3 linked regions of the Drosophila melanogaster genome follow. The protein of the gene in region 1 interacts with the protein of each later gene in a pairwise test. Each region holds a gene or a part of one and is shown on either strand. Other genes may lie near its edges.

Region 1 (5,082 bases):
AATTCGATTATCGCCTGTTTCTATTACTCATCAGATTTAAAACGTGCCATAACAAGATTTACGGGCTGTAAATCCTTTTGTTACCTCGCATTCCTGATTAGAGGTTTACGTAGCCCAAGGTTTGTTATTGTCGTTCACGGTTAATTGTTAAATCGGTAGGAGTTCATATTTATTGTGTTCTTGTTTATCTTTTATTCTATTAGAAAACAATCTAAAATTTTTTCAAAGGCTTAAGAAATATTTTTGCTCTGTGGAATTAAATTTTATTCTATTGATTCGAAAATCTTTCAAAAAACCGTTTTAAAATAAGCCCTAAAGTATTAATTTCTTACTGTCCATTTTTTGTTAGCAAATTTTAGCAATTTTAAATTTTAAAATGCGGTTGCTCAAAATAATCTGGCAGCTCTTGCAACCTTATGGCATCCGTGCGAACAGCTGTCAGATCAGCTGTTGTTGTTTCCAGCCCTGGTTTGGGAAAATTTCACGGCCAACAACCGAAATTCGCGGTCAAAATTCGCGGAAGTGAGGTCTCTAGTTTTATGTAATGTCTAGATGACGCGGATTTAGCTCCTAGTTAAGCGCTAATTGTGGCACTCTGCTATGTTCACCTACCAACTGGGGCTTGTGGTCCGCTGTGCGCGGCAGAAGCCGCTGCTCCTATGGGCGCCCGCCTGCCACATGAGCGGTCTCAGTCCGCTGAAGGAATATGAGAAGCGTGTTAGTTCTGGCCAACTGATGACCGACAACAGGCAGCTGCAGACGATGAAGGAGCTGGATGCGCTGTACCACAAGATTCAGGGGTATAAACCCAGCTACAGGGCGGGCGGTGGCGGCGGAGGATTCTTCAGTTCAATCTTTGGTAGGAAATCTTCCACCGAAGATGACGATCAGGATGATCCTAACGCTGGCAGTCACGCTCCTCAGGGTCTGTACCTGTACGGCAGCGTGGGTGTGGGCAAGACCACTCTGATGGACCTGTTCTTCGACTGCTGTACCCAAGTAAGTGATGAATGAGTATTTCTCGAGGCCCATATTCACATGACTTGTGACTTTCAGATTCATCGAAAGCAGCGCGTCCATTTTACTTCGTTCATGAACACCGTGCACACCCGCATCCACGAGGCCAAGCAGAGACAAGGACCTGTTGACCGTGCCTTTAATTCTGAAAAACCAGCACCATTTGATCCCACAAAACCGGTTGCTGACCTGATTGCCAGTGAGTCCTGGTTGATTTGCTTCGATGAATTTCAGGTGACGGACATAGCCGACGCCATGGTGCTAAAGAGATTGTTTACGCACCTTTTCCGCCATGGCATTGTGGTTGTGGCCACCAGCAATCGGCATCCAGAGGATCTGTACAAGAACGGACTGCAGCGCACGAACTTTCTGCCCTTCATTGCGTTACTTCAGCGTCGCTGTAAGGTGTCCCAGTTGGATTCTATTGACTACCGACGTATAGCCCAATCTGGTGACACCAACTACTTCGTCAAAGGCCAAACGGATGCGGACGGCAGTATGAATCGCATGTTCAAGATCCTGTGCGCCGAAGAAAACGATATTATCCGGCCGCGAACCCTGACTCATTTCGGAAGAGATCTGACCTTCAATCGCACGTGTGGCCAGGTACTGGACAGCACCTTCTCGGAACTCTGTGATCGCGTAAGCAAAGTATTAATACATAATCTTACCCATACTCAACATATTCCGCATTAGCCTTTGGCTGGCAGTGATTTCTTACAGATATCGCAATTCTTTCACACCGTCCTCATCCGAGATGTGCCCCAGCTGACCCTTGATGTGAAGGCACAGATGCGACGATTTATCACGCTCATAGATACCCTTTACAATAACCGAGTGCGTGTGGTGATATCATCCGACGTTGCGCTGGAAAACTTGTTCAGCTTTACTGGAGGTTCCAAAACTCTGTCCGATTCTGAGCGAACCCTAATGGACGATCTAAATATAGTAAGTTAGTAACTCATTCTTCTACCATTAAAATCAACACGTTTTTGTTTACAGAAAGAATCCAAAGCCAGTTTTTTCACCGGCGAGGAAGAGCTGTTCGCCTTTGATCGCACACTATCTCGACTCTATGAAATGCAGAAGAGGGAGTACTGGGAGCAGTGGGCCAAACATCGATGAAAACCCCTTGTCACAAAGCAGTAGTTCAATTAGCGCTATAAAAATTACATGTTTTCTACCTCGCTGACGCGGTATTTTAAAATTCACAATATCTTGTACTTACAAATTTCATATCGAAAATGCAATATTAAAATTAGGTGTATTTCGCAAGTATTAAGACAATAAAAAATAGACAAAGTTACCTAAGCGATTGGCTTTATTAAACAGCAAGCTGTGGAGTTTTACATAACAAATTTACTTATTGTTAATATCGGTGATCTTTTAACGGAATCCATCTCATAAATTATCAGTTAATGCGAACGGTCTGGCAACGTCGTCATCAGCTGTCCAACAAGCAAATTGATAAGACTCTCCATGTTCTTCGGTTGAGGTTGAGTAGAAGATTAGAGGTCAAGATCGGCGATCGAACGATTTTATCTTCAAGTGGAATTTAGTCAGCTAAATTTTCGTTTGACAGCAATGAGCAGCATGGATGTGAAGGAATTGGAAGTAAACAAAACCCTGCCCTATGGTAAGAATTCGCACAATAGTACGAATTTAAATATATACATATATATTTCGCAGATCCCTCCCTGCTTAAGGTAAACATCTCGCTGCGGCAGGTCGAGGAGATCGCTTTGACGGTGTCCCAGCGATGCCATGTCACCGGAGCCAACGAAATCGCCTGGGCGCTGAGGGCTCTGATGCTGACAGATCTTACCACCTTGGCGGGCGATGATACGGCTGCCAATGTGCGGAGACTATGCCTACGCGCCTGCTATCCCTTCGAGCCGCAGTTCTTTGACAAGTTCTTCGACCGGGCTCTCATCCCAGAGATGCACACGGCCGCCGTTTGCGTTTATCCCGCCAGGGTAAAGGACGCCTATTTAGCTATCCAACAGTACGACAAACTGGATAAGGTGGCTATTGCAGCGGTGGCCACGGGATTTCCCACGGGCCAGTACGGCCTGCAGACCCGCCTGCAGGAGATCAGCCACGCCATTCTTGCTGGAGCCACAGAGATCGACATTGTGATCAATCGCCAGTTGGCCCTCGTTGGCGACTGGGAGGCCATGTACAACGAGGTGGTCCTTATGCGCAGTGCCTGTGGACAAAGGGCTCACCTAAAAACAATTCTGGCCATCGGGGAGCTGGGCACCATGGATAATGTGAGATCAATATCGCCTAATCCCTATACTAAAATACCATTCAAATCCATTAATTTCTTTAGGTTTACAAAGCAGCCATGGTTTGCATGATGGCCGGAGCGGATTTTATCAAGACCTCAACGGGAAAGGAGACAGTCAACGCCACCCTGCCCGTTGGCCTGGTCATGATATTTGCCATTCAGGAATTCAAACGACGCACGTGCCAGATTGTGGGCCTTAAGCCAGCCGGAGGAGTAAAGACTGTACGAGATGCGATCGCCTGGATGACGTTGGTCAACGAAACTCTTGGCATCCGCTGGTTGCGTCCCGAGAGGTTCCGTTTCGGAGCCTCCGGATTGCTGGACGACATTGAACGCGTTGTGCGTCAGGGTGTCAAAAAACTCGAGGAGGATGAGGCTCAGAAAAATGTGCCCGTGTCTCGCGAGGCTGCTGCTGCCGAGACCTTCTGCAAGGAGCTGCGGAAGAAGTAGGAGGAGGCCAACTGGTCGAATCCGTATTCTGGACTTTACTCACTCTAAGTGCATTTATTGTAGCTTTTTTATACAACTGACTAAAACCTATAGCAAAAAAAACCGCATCTATGTTCGACGTTCTTCCTGGACGGGAGACTTGAAGTTAAAGGCTAACTGCGCAGGAGCCGCCATCAAATCTTCCTCGGCCTGCTCTTCGCCATGCTGCAAGAGCTCTGTGGGCGCAGCTGGCTCCTTGTGGGGCTGATTATCCGGAATCTTTACCTGCATGTCCACCGCAAAGAAGGAGTCGTCGAAGTTTATTCGGTTGCGCTCGTCCTGCTCCAGATACATGGCTTTGGGCGCAGTTGCTCCGCCCATGGCCCTCTCGTAGGTGTTAAGCCACTTGAGATTGAGGTTGATGTGCTTGTTGGCAGCGTTAAACTTCTTTGGCTTCTTTTTTGGCTTTTCCGCGTAGTAGTTGTGCTCCGTCTTTTGCGGCGGAGGAGCAATCTTCTCCAGCATTCGGCTCTTGGCATCCAGCTTGGGCTCCACGAAGTCGTATAGAGGTAAATAGAAGTTATACGGCTGCTCCGTTGGCGGCAGCATTCGCTGCTGCGGCTGCACTTGCTCCTGCACCTGACTACTGGCCTCCGCCATGGCATCTTCCTCTAGAGCCGGACCAAAGATTTCCCCAGCACGCCGCAGCAAATTCTCTAAACGCTCTATGGTGATGATGTGGGGATGGATAAGCTGGACATCGTCGTGCAGCTGTGCCCGCCGAGCTGTCGGTGGTTTGGCCACCACGCTGCAGCAAAAGGCGCACAAAAACAACTGCAAGGATGTGAAAACTTAGTCCGATTTTCGCATTGAGCGGTCAAGCCAAACAACTCACAACCAATAAACCATTCATGTCCAATTTAATTCCCATAGCTCTGAACGTTTCACTTTCAGCTCCTCATATGCAGTGCTCCAATTGAACCACCTTCACTTTCTTAGATCTGAAACGATGTGAGGCCTCCTTGGAGCTGGCCAATTCATTTATACTGGCGCTACATGCTCCAAACGGAAGCTCGGAAGTCTCCGCCATCAATGGCCAACAAAAAACCTGCACGGACCCTGGCTGGCTGGTTGACTGGGAGAAAACTAGTTTCCCACACAAGAAATAAATATGTAACGAGCCAACTAACTAGACTGCACATGTATGCACACGCCAGAGCACATAATAATGTTAATGTAACAACGATGGTGATACCGATGCTGGGAGTTGAACAAACTGGAACTGCCAGAGACGAACCGTTTGCCACTCATAATGAGTCCGAGCGATTGCCTTCTGCCTAGCC
Region 2 (4,597 bases), on another chromosome or scaffold:
ATCGCAACTTTGGCCCGCAGCATATGGTTATACTCGCGGGGGCTGTGGTCGACTTTAAATGGAAATTTAAATGATATTCCAGCTAGAACGGAAGTGAAACTGCCGCCAGTTTGCAATTACCCCACCTAATTAATGATCAGCTAGGCCACAAGTACGTTCTTGATTAAAATTTGTGTGCTGCTAACGCATTAATTAAAGTTTCATAAGAGGCAAGCAGAAAAATGCGAGAAAAGAAGGCCAAACAAGGACTTCTATTTAAATATTTATTCCACTCATTTGTATTGTGGAAGAGACCCCGAGACCTGGAGACAGAAATTACCTTAGGCACACAAATTGCATTTGCGTGTCAACCGCAGTGCGCAAAAAGGGGCGGGAATGTCCTGGAGGCGTCCCAAGTTTGAATGTGTGACTGTGTGTATTTGAGTGAGTGAGTCTCTGGAACATGCGAAGCGTGCGTAAGTCGGCAACATGTAAACGCGTATTAATTAAGCCAAAACAAAGCGCCGCCGCTCAAGAACCAGACGAAATGCGAAGACGACGACGTCGACGGCGACGAGGACATGCAAAAGGAGTGGCACGTGGGCGGCGGTGGCGATGGCAGGGGGCGTGGCAAGTCGTCCTGCGAGTCAAGAGCTCGCTCGCTGCCATTTCCCCCTGTCAGGGACTCAATGTGTCCGTAGGAAATGGAAATGCCCTTATAATACGCCAGACGTGGTACATTTTCTTTTTTGTATGTGTGCGGCTTTCTTTGACTGATTCTTTTGATTCCAGTTATACATTTTAATTAAAACCACCTCATAACATAACATACATAACTCGCCTATCTCGTTGTAGTTAACAGGCGTTTTATTTAAATAGTCCCTTAATGAGCAAAACAGTCTCGCCCAGTCTTTGTCCTCACCCCACCAGGTGAACAGCTCTCGAAGTTGTCGGGCTGCCGGCGACACTTTTCCGTCATTGTCCCACCTGTCATCGCCAGTCGGTCCGAGCTGCCACAAATGTCAGTCACCGCTTTAAACGCTTTTGGCTAGAATAAGCTTCAAGTCAAAAACAAAAATTGAGTAAACGATTTAGAAATAAAACACATTATTTGAAAAGGGAGTTGGTTTAGCCATGACCTTCTGTGCGTCCGTCGATTTGTATGCAAACTAGAGTCTCAGTTTTAGAACTAGCCGAATAAAACTTTCAAAAAGTCTTTTTATTGTAAGTTTGTTAATTCCAGATATAAACACTCTATCATATAGGAAAGAAATCATATCATCGTGGTTTTTAATTATAAAGTGTTCTAATTCGGTATAAGCATTTTTCTATTTTAAATATATTTTAACTGCAAGCATATATATATAAATGGATATATAGATTTTACATTTAACGTTTTTCGGCTGAGTGCATGAGAATGATTTTCGTGCCCACTTTAATTGCAATTCGTGTTAATTTCGCCGGCGAAACTGGGTTTAACAACCACTTGAGGCGGCCAGCTGCCACTTCATCGGTCATTATGGTCAGCCATAAACAAATCAGCAAACAAAGTGGCAGCCACCTGCCACCTGCCGCCTTCCATTGTCCACGTCGCCACTTTGCACACCCACTTTTCGCACAAATTGCACGTTGGGCGCCACAAAAGTTGCGACCCAAGAAAAAGCAAGCGGAAAGAATAGCCGAGCCAAGAAAGCGAAGGGAAACAAAGGAACGAGCGAAAGAAAATCTTTCATTATCATGTCACGTCAATCGAAAAACAATCTAATGACTGCACATGATTTCTATCTCAAATAGGTTGGACGGGAGTCTGGGCAAGGGGCAAAACAGGACGGGAAATCGCCCTACATACACACTGAACTCAAACACAAATGCCCACAGAAGTGGTTGAAAAGTTTGCGGCCAAACGATTATTATGCATTAGCCATGCTTAAACGGTTAAATCAACTGTAAATCCCTCTGCCCACAATAAGGTCGTTGGGGGCAGCCTTCGATGGGCGGTCAACTGCACAAGTCAAGTGTGAATGAGTGTGATTTGATAAATCACTGCGATATAACAAGGCTCAACGTATCTGAAACTTAGATACCGAGGCGGACAGGCATTTCCAGTTGATTAGGAAGTACGGCTTGGAGCTCACTTTTATAAAGACTTCAGATTTCGAATAGATTATGTAACTATCCTAAGCCTAAAGTGTTAAAAAAATTCTGAGTGTGTTTGTTTTTGGGACGAGCTTAATAGGCTTTTCAGTAACGGTTAAGTTTACCTTTTAAATATTTAAATCTATTAAGTTTGTAATATTTCCGATTTTAATGATGTACAAGTAAGTAAAAAAAATATTATGGTGTCTATTGCTATCGCTAATATGCATATTTCCGTTTTCATTCACAGCAACCGACCCACGGCGTAGGTATCGATATAAGTTACTATCCAGATCTGAGTATTTTAATATTTTTCTTTTTAAACAGTATCAGTCTAGAAGAGGAGGTTCAATATATCTATAAGTACCCTTTGCTGCCGACTCCACTGATTGATTATGGATTTATCTACAATCTGGTTTGCAACAAGCCTCGGGATGTCAGTGTGCCGTTGATCCTAGAAATTGAGACAGAGTTCAAGTCCAAAGACAGTGCTCCTGAGAAGCCAAAGAAGGTGCCTAGGCTTTCATACCATTCCCGATCGAGTTCAATGAGTGAAGATGAACCGGAACCGGAAGTGCAAGTTAAATACCAGTGGAACTCGCCGCGGCTGATGATTCTCTGCGAAGATGGAGACATCAATTGCGCTTTGCACTATCTCGTTGAGTCTCTTCACGATCCCTTCGCCTGCAATGCGGTGGCCACTCTTTTCTTGCAGGAATCCATATTGGAGGAGTTCGTGGATCGCATAAGGGATCGCCTGGAACCGTTGAGCACGGATATCTCCGGGCATCCGGTTTATATAATGACACTGGAGAGAATAGGTCACTTACAGGCAAAGAGAATAGTTGGAAATCCCAAGACTGTTCCAGAAAATGCTAGTCCCATGCTGGTCTACGACCTTAGCCATCGTTACTTGGCTGATGGACCCACCGGGGTCATAACCCTGCACACCTTTCGAACCATGAAGGAGGCCGTTGAGCTGCAGGCTAAGGAACCACTTAACTTTACCTCTGTGTGCATTTGGAACGAAAAACTGGCAGCCGCCTACGAACTGGTGGCCCGATTAAGTCCGCTGATCTTCACGATTAATTGTTACTACGTTAATCTGAACGAAATCACTCTGCCCTTCGTTTGCAACTTTAACTCCGCAAAGATTATCGACGGCTACCACTACGAGTCATTGACCTTTAAGGGAAAGCGCAAAGTGGTTGTCCATCCAGTTGGCACCATCTGGGCAAAGTTGGCCCGCGAGGCACTCGTCCAGTACTGATCTCTCCCATCGGGGGGTCGCACTCGAACTTCTTTTGACAGCCAATTTAAATTACTAGTCATTGATCTAGGGCCTCTGGCTAATTGACTTTCCGGTTGGGCAACTCAATTACCAATTTAATTGCTACAAAACGTCTGCCCGTCCCAAGAGTTTTGGCCTACATATTTTCCGGGGAAACTCAACAGGCCGTTTCCCCGGCCTAATGGAAATTATGAGTGACTTTGTATTGCGATATTAAAAATTCTTTCTGCGAAGTAATTCACCTAACGTGCCAATAATTTCAAAAATTAACTTTGCCCCATTGGCACCTTCCCCGATTTCCCCGCTCTGCAGAACAAAGGCAACAAAAGGCGGTTCGTGTTGGCAACAAAATGTTGAGGCTGCCAGGTGAGTGGGTGGGAAGTGGCTGGATGGCGGGTGGAATTTCGAATATGCCATAATTACTCCACTTGGTCGCTGCTGAGGGTCGATCGTGCAGAGGGGCCACTGGGCGGTCATATTAGTGGCACATTTCGGCTTGTTGGTTGGCCAAATAATACGGGAATGGGAATGACTTTGGCAAACGGGGGCTGGGCAACTTTATAATGTACTTCCGTTTGCTTTCATTCACATGGCAGCGGAATATCAAAATATTTGACATTTGCATAAATAACACGGCCACCGACGCAGATCCCGGGCAAGTTGAAAGGCAAATAAGGCTCGAATTTTTCGCCCAGCCCCAAACCACACACATATCATGCCTGGAATTGGGCAAATTTAAAAAACCAGCACATGCCAAGGGGCATGGAATGGAAGCGGTGCGGAGCAGAGCGAAATATGCAACGCAGGCAGTGAAAACAAAACCGTGGAATTTCTGTCCACCAGAGTCGGGAGTCCTGGCCACGGACTCCGGCTGAGGGTGGGTCCAGTGGCTATGGGCAAATAAGATTTGCGTGAAATCCAGCAGAATTCTGTTGGCTACCAGGGTTCCGGCCCGCTGTGGCATAGTAAAGCATGTCGGCAAGCAGGGCCCGCTCACTAAATAAACAAATTCATAAACAAACAAGTGCGAAAATATGGGACTTTACTTAGGCTCCCGTCCGATACCCTGATGGAGCCATTCAAACGAATTGTTCAATATAGGCACGCTAAATATGAAATACGACGGGCAATCTTAGCATGGAAAAGTGCACACAAAAAAATATATGTACTTAGGACTCGTTTATGACAGTA
Region 3 (8,791 bases), on another chromosome or scaffold:
CCTCACGTCAACGGACGGACAGATTTACGGACGGACAGGGGCCAAAACTATGCCACGATAATCACGACGAAACCGAAAACTGAAATCATAAACGAAAACTGAGGCTGCGACAAAATCTCGGATGCATATTGTTTAAATGAACTTATTTAGAAAATTAACATTTAACATTGTAACATTTAAACCTACGAAAAGTTACTAAAAGAACCAAAGACAGAGCTTTATCGAAGGTATTCTATTCGTATTTCTAAATCATAATATAAGAAACCTTTAAAATTAAGATTTAAAGCTGTAAAATGAAGAAGGTATTGTATTGCTTTAATCTTTCTTAATTATATATTATCGTTTCTACGCACAAACATTTTACTACCAAAGTATTACTCACTATTTTGAGATACTTTTTATACACCCCATTTATGTTTTAGGCATAATTTGACATGAACACTTCGCCCCTGAAATTATGCAACATTTTTACAGCCTTCAAAAACATGAAAAGCCTAAAAGTGTTTTAAAAATCCAAGACTCTAGTAGCTGCATAAAATAAATAACCCATCAAATCATAATTCTCCAATGAAGAGGTATTACTTAGTCGGATACACGAAAACCACCTGCCAGTTAAAGAATAAAATGCTTAAATCAGGTGCCACAGTTCGATATGTTTGTGCTGTTTATTTCGACAGATCTACGTGCCTTCGAGCGTGTATATGATAGATATATAAATATATATGTATATATATATATAGTTGGTATTGGTATAATTGTTTACAAAAAAAAGACGCCTAGCAAAACAAAAGTCCATATAAAAGGACGATACACGTATATAATACACTAAAACAGTTAACATCCTTTCGATTTTCCATTCCGATTTGGTAGCACTAGTTTCGTTCGTTTCGTTTTTTTTTTTTCTTTTTGGAAGCCACATTCTTGTCCTGCATCCGGAAAACTTCGAGCCCAAATACATATGTAGGATATATGTGTATATATCGGAATTATCACAAATGCTTATGATCTAGCTAAAATAGCGTATAGTTAGGCTTGCTTCAAGCGCGCTGGGATCGTGAGTTGCGTGTGGGTGGTGTCTTCGACCAGCTTTGCTCCTCGGCGCTGGCGAAGATCAGGTAGATGAAGTTACCGGCTATATTCAAGCCCGCCGCCAGCCAGAAGACCAGATGCCACTGTGTCAGAGTCTCGCGATGATTGATGATTAGACCGATGACATACGGAGCCAGGAAGCCACAGATATTTGCCGCCGAATTGGTGATGCCATACATGGTGCCTGCATATCGTGGACTGAGCGCTATGTGATTCATCTGGTTGCCAGCATAGACGGCGCCGCCGAAAGAGCCCACGCCGGCCAACATAAAGGTGACCCACACCCAATCGCAGCCCACATAGATGATGCCAATCAGGCCCAGTGATGGCACCACGGAGGCCACCGTGTTCCACAACTTATACGAGTTCAGCAGCGATATGTAGCGTCTGGCTAGCATCCAATCCGCCAGGGCGGAGCAGGCAATGCCCACGAACCAGGAGGTTAGATACGGCACCGCATTGAGCAGAGCATTCGACTGGATGTCAAAGTGTAGGATGTTGCTCATGTAGGTGGGCAGCTCGGTTAGCTGCGTGTAGAAGGCCCATCCCTGGCCGCATTGCGTCAACAAGATGGCCCACAGAGGTACGGATGTGAGCAGCGATGACCAGGGTATCGGTTCCTCCGGCGGCGCCCGCAGACTCACTTCATCCTGTCCCTCCTCTTCCTCGGCCTCCGCTAGATCCTGATTTATTAGCCTCTGAACCTGTAGACTCCTTTCGATATACTCTCGCTCCGATTCTGAGATCCTGGGATGATCGCTAGGCTTGTCGTACACCAAATACATCCATGCGATGAACCACAGAATGCCCAACAGTCCGAAGATGTAGAAAGCCGACGGCCAGCCACCCAGGAAGTCCAGCGAGCACAGCCATCCGGCCAGCGGCATGGAAATGACTGTTCCGATATTGGAGCCCGCATAGACGATTGCGGCGAACTTGTTCCTCTCCAGCGGCGGTATCCAGTGGGCAAGCATGGCGTGCATAGCTGGATAGGTGACGCCCTCGCCCATTCCCTCCAGGATGCGGACCAGGACCAACAGCGGCAGATCCCAGTGGGCAGCCAATGGAGTTATAAGCGTAAAGACCGCCGTGATCAACACTCCATAGCCGTAGATCTTCTTCCCACCATACAGCTCGGCCATCCGTCCGCCGGGCACTTGGGTTAGCACATAGCCATAGAAGAAACTGCCGAGCACCAATCCCTGCGTGGCCTCGTCCCACACAAACTCGCCCTCCTTCTGCGGATTGGGATCGCTACCATTGTGATGTGGTGCCGGTAGTGGACACGTGTCCGTATCAATCACCGATGAGTTGCTGTGCGGAATTGCCGTTTGGTTCACCATGGCCACAATGGCCACCGACAGATTGACCCGCATCGCGTAGACCACGGCGAATCCCAGGAAGCCCATGAATCCGAAAATGTGACGCGTCTTTGGGCCACAGCCATGGTTTTCTGCAGGGTGGAGAGAGGAGAGAGTGGATGGTTAGTAAGCTATGGTTTAGGAGGCGTAATAACGATATCAGTTCCGGTTTTACTTAAAAGTTCTCGCCGTTCTCGATAAGGCCCAATGTTACACTGAAAATCCCTAAATACCATTCAATGTGTTATCATTGCATAGTTTAAATTGCCTCAATTTCTTCACTTTTTTATTCCTTTAGAAATGTTTACATGAGATGCCATTGCCAGTGAATTTAATTTCTTTTCAGATACTTGTTCATAGGAATCGCTCAAGTATAAAATCTAAAATAAAAATATTACGATCTGATACCATCGAAAAAGTTATCGGCCCTCCGTTCCATTTGAAATGCAGATTTGTACTGTTCTATAAAGTTCAGAAAAACTTCGCTTCATATCAGTAAATGTAAACAAGTCGTAATTTCGGCCCTTGGCGAATAAATTATACATAGGCATAGGCTGTTAACTGGATAACTGGATAGTATTACGTGAAAATTAAAATTTATGCGTAATTATTAGGTTATTTTATATTATATGTATGTTATGTTATATGTATAAAAACATTTTAATTATTTTTATTAGTTATTGAAATCTATAAGCCATATAATATCTTACTTTAAGATTAAATGAGAATTATTATAAATTGAAAGATACAATTTTAGAGTGTCTTGGATATACGTAAAATGAAATTTGTTTACAACAAAAAGTATCTTTGCGTTGAGTACTGTTTTTTTTTACACAGATATTCCGAGAGTTTATGTTTAATAAAAGTACTGACCCAGGACATATGTATGTACAATACATAAATGCAAATCAATATGAAGCAGAAATAGCACTAAAGATTTAAATAAATAAAGGTATCTTGAGCTTGTAATACGCATATCTACGTTGCTCCACCTACATATGCTATAGCTAGGTAAATATCTTTCCCCATCTGTGTATCTTGTAGCTACTCACCCTCCGCAGCGCCGCTGGAGCGGATTAGCGGTCGTTCGCCGGAGCAAAACGCCTCCCGTTCGTCGTCCGCTTCGTCGTCGGAGCGCTCCGCCGAGGCGGATGAATTGGAGGAGGTGGATGGATCGTAGTAACAGGAGGCGTCCCGCGACTCGTCCGTCCATTTGTGCGGTGGCATCGTGGCGCTCTATTTGGTTTCGTGGATTCCGATTGGAGATGTTGGTGCTTGGCGGTCTGTGCTTTTCGAGCGTCTTTTGAGCGTTTGGAACTGCAACTGCCAACGCATTTTCTCTGCCGGAGCGGCAGCTGTAGTGTAGTTATTGTATTTGTATCGCCAGCGGTGGCGGAAGCGGTTTGCTTGTCCACCAAAATCAAGAGCCGTGTGAGCGGGAGCGGGAACGGGAGCGGCAACGCGAGCGGACACCTCACCACGCCAGCGGGAACCAGCGCAGACTGACGGACTGGCAAATGGCAACGGGCAACGGACAGCGCAACAACAAACCTAAGCAAAAGGCAGCGCCAGCAAACGTAGCTTCTAACCACAAGAGGGGTAACAGTGGCGTAGTTGTGGGGTGGCGAGCCAAAATCACAGAGGGGATTCCTCGAGTGAGAAGAGTAAATACTTTCTGGCGATAGAATGATGGCGTAGTTCTTTGGGAATTTCAGTCATTGTTTAGTTGCCCCTTTTGCTGCGCCACTGCGTTTGGAGTCACCACAGCTCGCTCCCTCTCTAATGGCTGGCTCTGTGGCGTTCTCGCTCTCTCCCGTGTGAAAGTGGAGCATGAATGGTGCGGCGCTACGTCACAGAAGGGGATGCAAGAACGAAAGAGAGTGGGTGAGAGAGAGAGCATTAGAGAGGGCCAAAGAGAAAGGGGGTGATGTGCGAGAAGAGAAGAGAGTGCAGTGTGAATTGTATTGTTGTGAACTAACTTAAGTATACTATCTTTGTTTAGTTACAGTTAGTTTACACACACACACAAACTATAAACGGCGATATGGTATATTTGCCAGCACTGAAAAATTACTATTTGTAAGAAAATAAAAACAATAAAACAAAACTAATTTCCAGATAGTCGAAATCAAAAAGGGAATTTGTACTAAAATCTTGAGAATAAAAACAACGAGGAGAGAAAGGCAAAGTATACTTTAGTTGCCAACACAAATACACGCACACTCAAACAACTCAGGCTAACACAATAGCTACGTTTAAGTAGCCAAGCTCTTTTAATGTATGTAAGTCAATTCAAGCAGGCTCTAGTTAGAGAACAAAAGAAATGAGCAAAAACCTAAATTCCACACATAGTATGTACATTTCTACATCTGGAAATTTTTCCATATTTGTTGTCCGTTTACAATGAAATAGATAAGATAAAGGGTTAAGTTGATCGATCGCTGCGTAGCTCGCACAAAACAAAATGTTCTTTTAAAAATTTTCATTGAAATCATTACCAGTTTATCAGTTAAATGGTTCATTTACTTCATAGTATGTTAAGTTTACTAAAATGAGCGCTATTATTTTGGCCCCAAGTGTATGAGTGTGCCCTTCAACTGCTTCCATTTAAACTGCTTTGCAGGATTTCTATTTCTGGAGCAGCACTTGCGCATGTCCTGAAAAAATGCCTGTTGCATGCAGAGATTCGTGGACCTACCCCAAATTCCCACAGATGCATAAAAGTTGGCTGATGATTTTTCAGTGGACAATTATTGACAGAGTATCAAAAAAACAATTCAGACTCAAGGACCTTTTCGCAATACAATTGGAATATTATGATGGTTGCAAAATCAGATAATTTCTAAGTTAAGCCACATTAAATGCTAGTTGTTTGACATAACTCCTAATTTAGTTCGATATAATTCCAATTGAACTGTCGAAAAGGATGCCCCAAGCTACATGTAAAATGCTTAGAGAGGTATTTTAAAGTATGGCTTAAAAAGCACCTGGATGTAATTCCTTCCGGATGTGATTCGTCGCCGTCGAAGTCCAGAACTGTCACTCTTCAGTTGCCGAAGATGGTGCCCACGGGAAAGACGACGATCCTCCGTTTGCCGCTCACCACCAGCGATTCATAGTGATAGTTCTTGGCCAGCAGAACATCGTTGCGGTCGGCAGCAAAGGATTCCCAGATGGGATCCAAGTCCGGATTGAAGCAATTAATGGCCACAATATCGCTCGGTAGTCGTGGTATCAGTTCGTAGGCGCAGCCCAGCTTCTCATTCCACAGACTAACTTGGCCGTAAGGTAGGGGATCCCTTTTGGCCAACTGGCCGGCCTCCTTGGCTGTGCGGAATGTGTGCACCGTCACCACTCCCGTCGCTCCATTGCCCAGATAGCTGTGCACGCAGTCGTACACCAAGACGGGTGATTCCCCAGCCTTAAGGCTTTCGCCTTGTACTGTCTTGGCCTTCAGCTCTTCGATCTTGGCCAGCGTGCTGGTGTAGCTCGGATGCTTGGACACCTCCTGCGACAACGGACGCAAATCCTGCGCCACTAGGCCCACAAACTGATCGGCAATGCTCTCCTGGAGTAGCAACGTGGCCACCGATCCCTCGGCAAAGGGATTCTGCAGGGACTGGAGCAACTGGTGGCGCGCTGAGTGCAGATCACCGTCCTCGAAGACGACCATCAGCTGGGGGGAGCGCCACTGGGGTGCACTGGGAATCAGCGCCAACTGCAAGTAGATACATTTTTGAATTTAACATATGTATGTAGGTGCTCCGATAATCTCACTGAGACACAATCCGTGTGCCAAGGAGATCAAGGTTATGTCCGATATTGTCTGACTGACCTTCGTTTCCTGCGCCGTCGGCTGCAGCTGGTTGACCATGTAGCTGGTGATCCTGGACGGCTGGGACTGGGTGAAGTTGCTGGCCATGCTCTGCGAATTGAAAACTTGAATTCAATGGAATCGCCCGATCAGCTGCGTTATCAGCGGCTCACGCAAACATACACACACGCACATAAACAGACACACACGCACACACACATTCACATGCAGAGAAGGAAGATCGCTGATAAACTAAAATACCAGTTATTGGTATTATTCAGTATTTAACACGGCCTGTCGCATTTTATAGCTACGGTCACACCGAAATAATAACTGGCATGTATAAGCGGAACAGCGACCGGTCACATTGGCCCACACATCACAATTTTAATTTAAATTGCAATTGGTCGTGTTGCTGCGCTGACGCCTTCCAGCGTATAAAAGAAAATAACACTTTTGCCCCCGGCTAGCTAATAGTTGTTGACATCACTCGTTATTCGCCGTTCATTGTTGACGCCCCCGTGCAAAGGCAGCAACAACAACAGCGATTGCCAAATATTGCAGCAGCAACAACAAGAACATTTGGAGAACGAAAGAAGACCAACAAGTGCGCGCACACACACACACACGCACAGACGCACACAGATACACTCATACAGTGAAGCTATTGCGCTTTTAGCACCAATTGAAAGTGAATTGCAAGTGAAAATAGACGCAAAGTGGAACGATTTCAGCAAATTGTTGCACACGAAAATAACAAAACAGCTGTGCGACTCATTTTTTTTTGTGTTTTATTGTTGTTGTTGTCTGCGCCGCGTGTGGCAGCAGCAGGAGTGGGAGTGAGAGAGCGGTAGCCGCTGCAATAACTGCATTTGAGTGCGAGCGAGAAGGAGCAGGAGAGCGACATCATCATGACCGACCTCAACGAGCTGATGGGATCCCCTTTTGTGCGTGTGAAGGTAAGCAAGCAGTGCATGCGATGCGGGAGACGAGATGCCGCTATTGCACTGCACTGGCCAGCAAGCAGTGCACTGCACTCACCCCCCTCATCTTATCCAACAAACAATTGCAGCCATAAAAATAGCAATGGGCGACTAGGAAAACTCATAACTCATGACAAAAAAAAAAAAACAAAGAAACAGATAAAAATTCTGAATAAATGAAAAAGTCTCATTTAAATTAGGGGAAAGAATAAACAGGGTAAATAGATAACATATGGTACAGCTGCGGTCAAAATATTAACAGCAGGGCGGTTCAACTGGCTGGGTGGCACACATAAACAGAAGAAACAGATAAAGAATTTTACGGAAGCGGTCAAAAAATTAAACTGGGCGTATGAAACATACGTGTTTGTTTTTTAAGGAATAAAAGCCATGAAAAGTAGATAAAAACTTTTTTTGGAAATTTACTTACATGTGTTTGGATGCTTATTTTGCATTCAAAGTGGATATAGCTACATATACATACATATATCGGCAAATATAAATTACTTGTTGTAGAACGAAAATAAGTAAATTAATGCCATCGTTATATGTATAAGTAAAAAATACACATAAATGACATTGTATGTACAGCTGGACTAATGCAACTTGTGTGGGCGAAATAAAACTGCTTGAGCGAAATTTACAGCTTACGGGAAAACCTTATAAACTAATTACATCGTTTCACTAAAAACATTTTCCAATTGTGCAGTTTTCTGTCCAAGAATAAATATTGTTATTTCTATCATAATACAATCCGTTTTTTTTACCATAACATTATAAATAATGGTCCAAATATAAAATGAGATGCCTCGTTGTGTTCGTTATTAAATACCAAATCGAACTGTATTCAAAAATTTCCTTAATTCTTCGATGAAAATGATAGGGAACGTTAGCCTTGGTAATTTGCTGCTCAAAACAGTTATTTTTTCATCTATATAACAATTTTTAGCGTATTTATGACAAAAATTCCATTTGTAAATATTACGTTTTTGGCAAAAGCTGTTTTTCCGAATTTATGTGATCAAAAAATCCGTTTTTTTGCCACAACTTTCAAATTAATTGCCTGAATATGAAATGTCATACCTCAATGAGCTCGTAATTAAATTTCCAATTAAACTGTGTCCAAATATAAGAATTCTATTTTTTCGCCATTTTTTGCAAATTTTGATGATGTTACCCCTTACAAAAAAATGCGAAAATTGACCCAAAAATTAATTTTTCTAAATCCTTCAAAAAATGATTGGCGTCGTTAGTATTGGTAAATAGCTGCTCAAAAAGGTAATTCTTTTATCTATATGACAAATTTTAGAGAAGTTATGACGAAAAGTTCCGTTTGTAAAATCACTTTTTTGGCAAAACCCGTTTTTTTCGAATTTCGGTCAATAAATAATCCGTTTTTTTTACCACAACTTTTAAAATAATTGTCTGAATATGGAATGTTATACCTCGTTGAGCTCGTAATTTAATTTCCAATCCAACTTTGTTCAAAAATAAGGATTCTATTTTTTCGCGATTTTTTTGCAAATTTTGATGATGTTACCCCT

Evidence for each region. The genes of interacting proteins can lie anywhere in the genome.
Region 2: the proteins of Dera (region 1) and CG2336 interact in a two-hybrid assay, tested with the Drosophila melanogaster proteins (one large-scale study listed by BioGRID).
Region 3: the proteins of Dera (region 1) and CG15717 interact in a two-hybrid assay, tested with the Drosophila melanogaster proteins (one large-scale study listed by BioGRID).

Annotation. Positions count from the first base shown.
Region 1 is NT_033778.4:12,423,110-12,428,191, forward strand, and holds Dera (Deoxyribose-phosphate aldolase), read left to right. Parts: upstream 1-2,373; 5' UTR 2,374-2,601; coding exon 2,602-2,653; intron 2,654-2,706; coding exon 2,707-3,290; intron 3,291-3,352; coding exon 3,353-3,760; 3' UTR 3,761-3,866; downstream 3,867-5,082. Other genes in the region: CG8520 (uncharacterized protein), read left to right, coding at 601-999, 1,057-1,659, 1,714-1,965, 2,020-2,142; CG13154 (uncharacterized protein), read right to left, coding at 3,869-4,573, 4,635-4,670.
Region 2 is NT_033777.3:6,578,631-6,583,227, forward strand, and holds CG2336 (uncharacterized protein), read left to right. Parts: upstream 1-2,153; 5' UTR 2,154-2,286; coding exon 2,287-2,297; intron 2,298-2,365; coding exon 2,366-2,380; intron 2,381-2,442; coding exon 2,443-3,385; 3' UTR 3,386-3,641; downstream 3,642-4,597.
Region 3 is NC_004354.4:13,126,683-13,135,473, reverse strand, and holds CG15717 (uncharacterized protein), read right to left. Parts: upstream 6,457-8,791; 5' UTR 6,373-6,456; coding exon 6,286-6,372; intron 6,169-6,285; coding exon 5,497-6,168; 3' UTR 5,438-5,496; exon of another isoform or gene 5,184-5,437; intron 4,482-5,183; exon of another isoform or gene 4,296-4,481; 3' UTR 3,678-4,295; coding exon of another isoform or gene 3,503-3,677; intron 2,543-3,502; coding exon of another isoform or gene 1,038-2,542; 3' UTR 909-1,037; downstream 1-908. Other genes in the region: MFS10 (major facilitator superfamily transporter 10), read right to left, coding at 1,038-2,542, 3,503-3,677; CG32638 (uncharacterized protein), read left to right, coding at 7,176-7,223.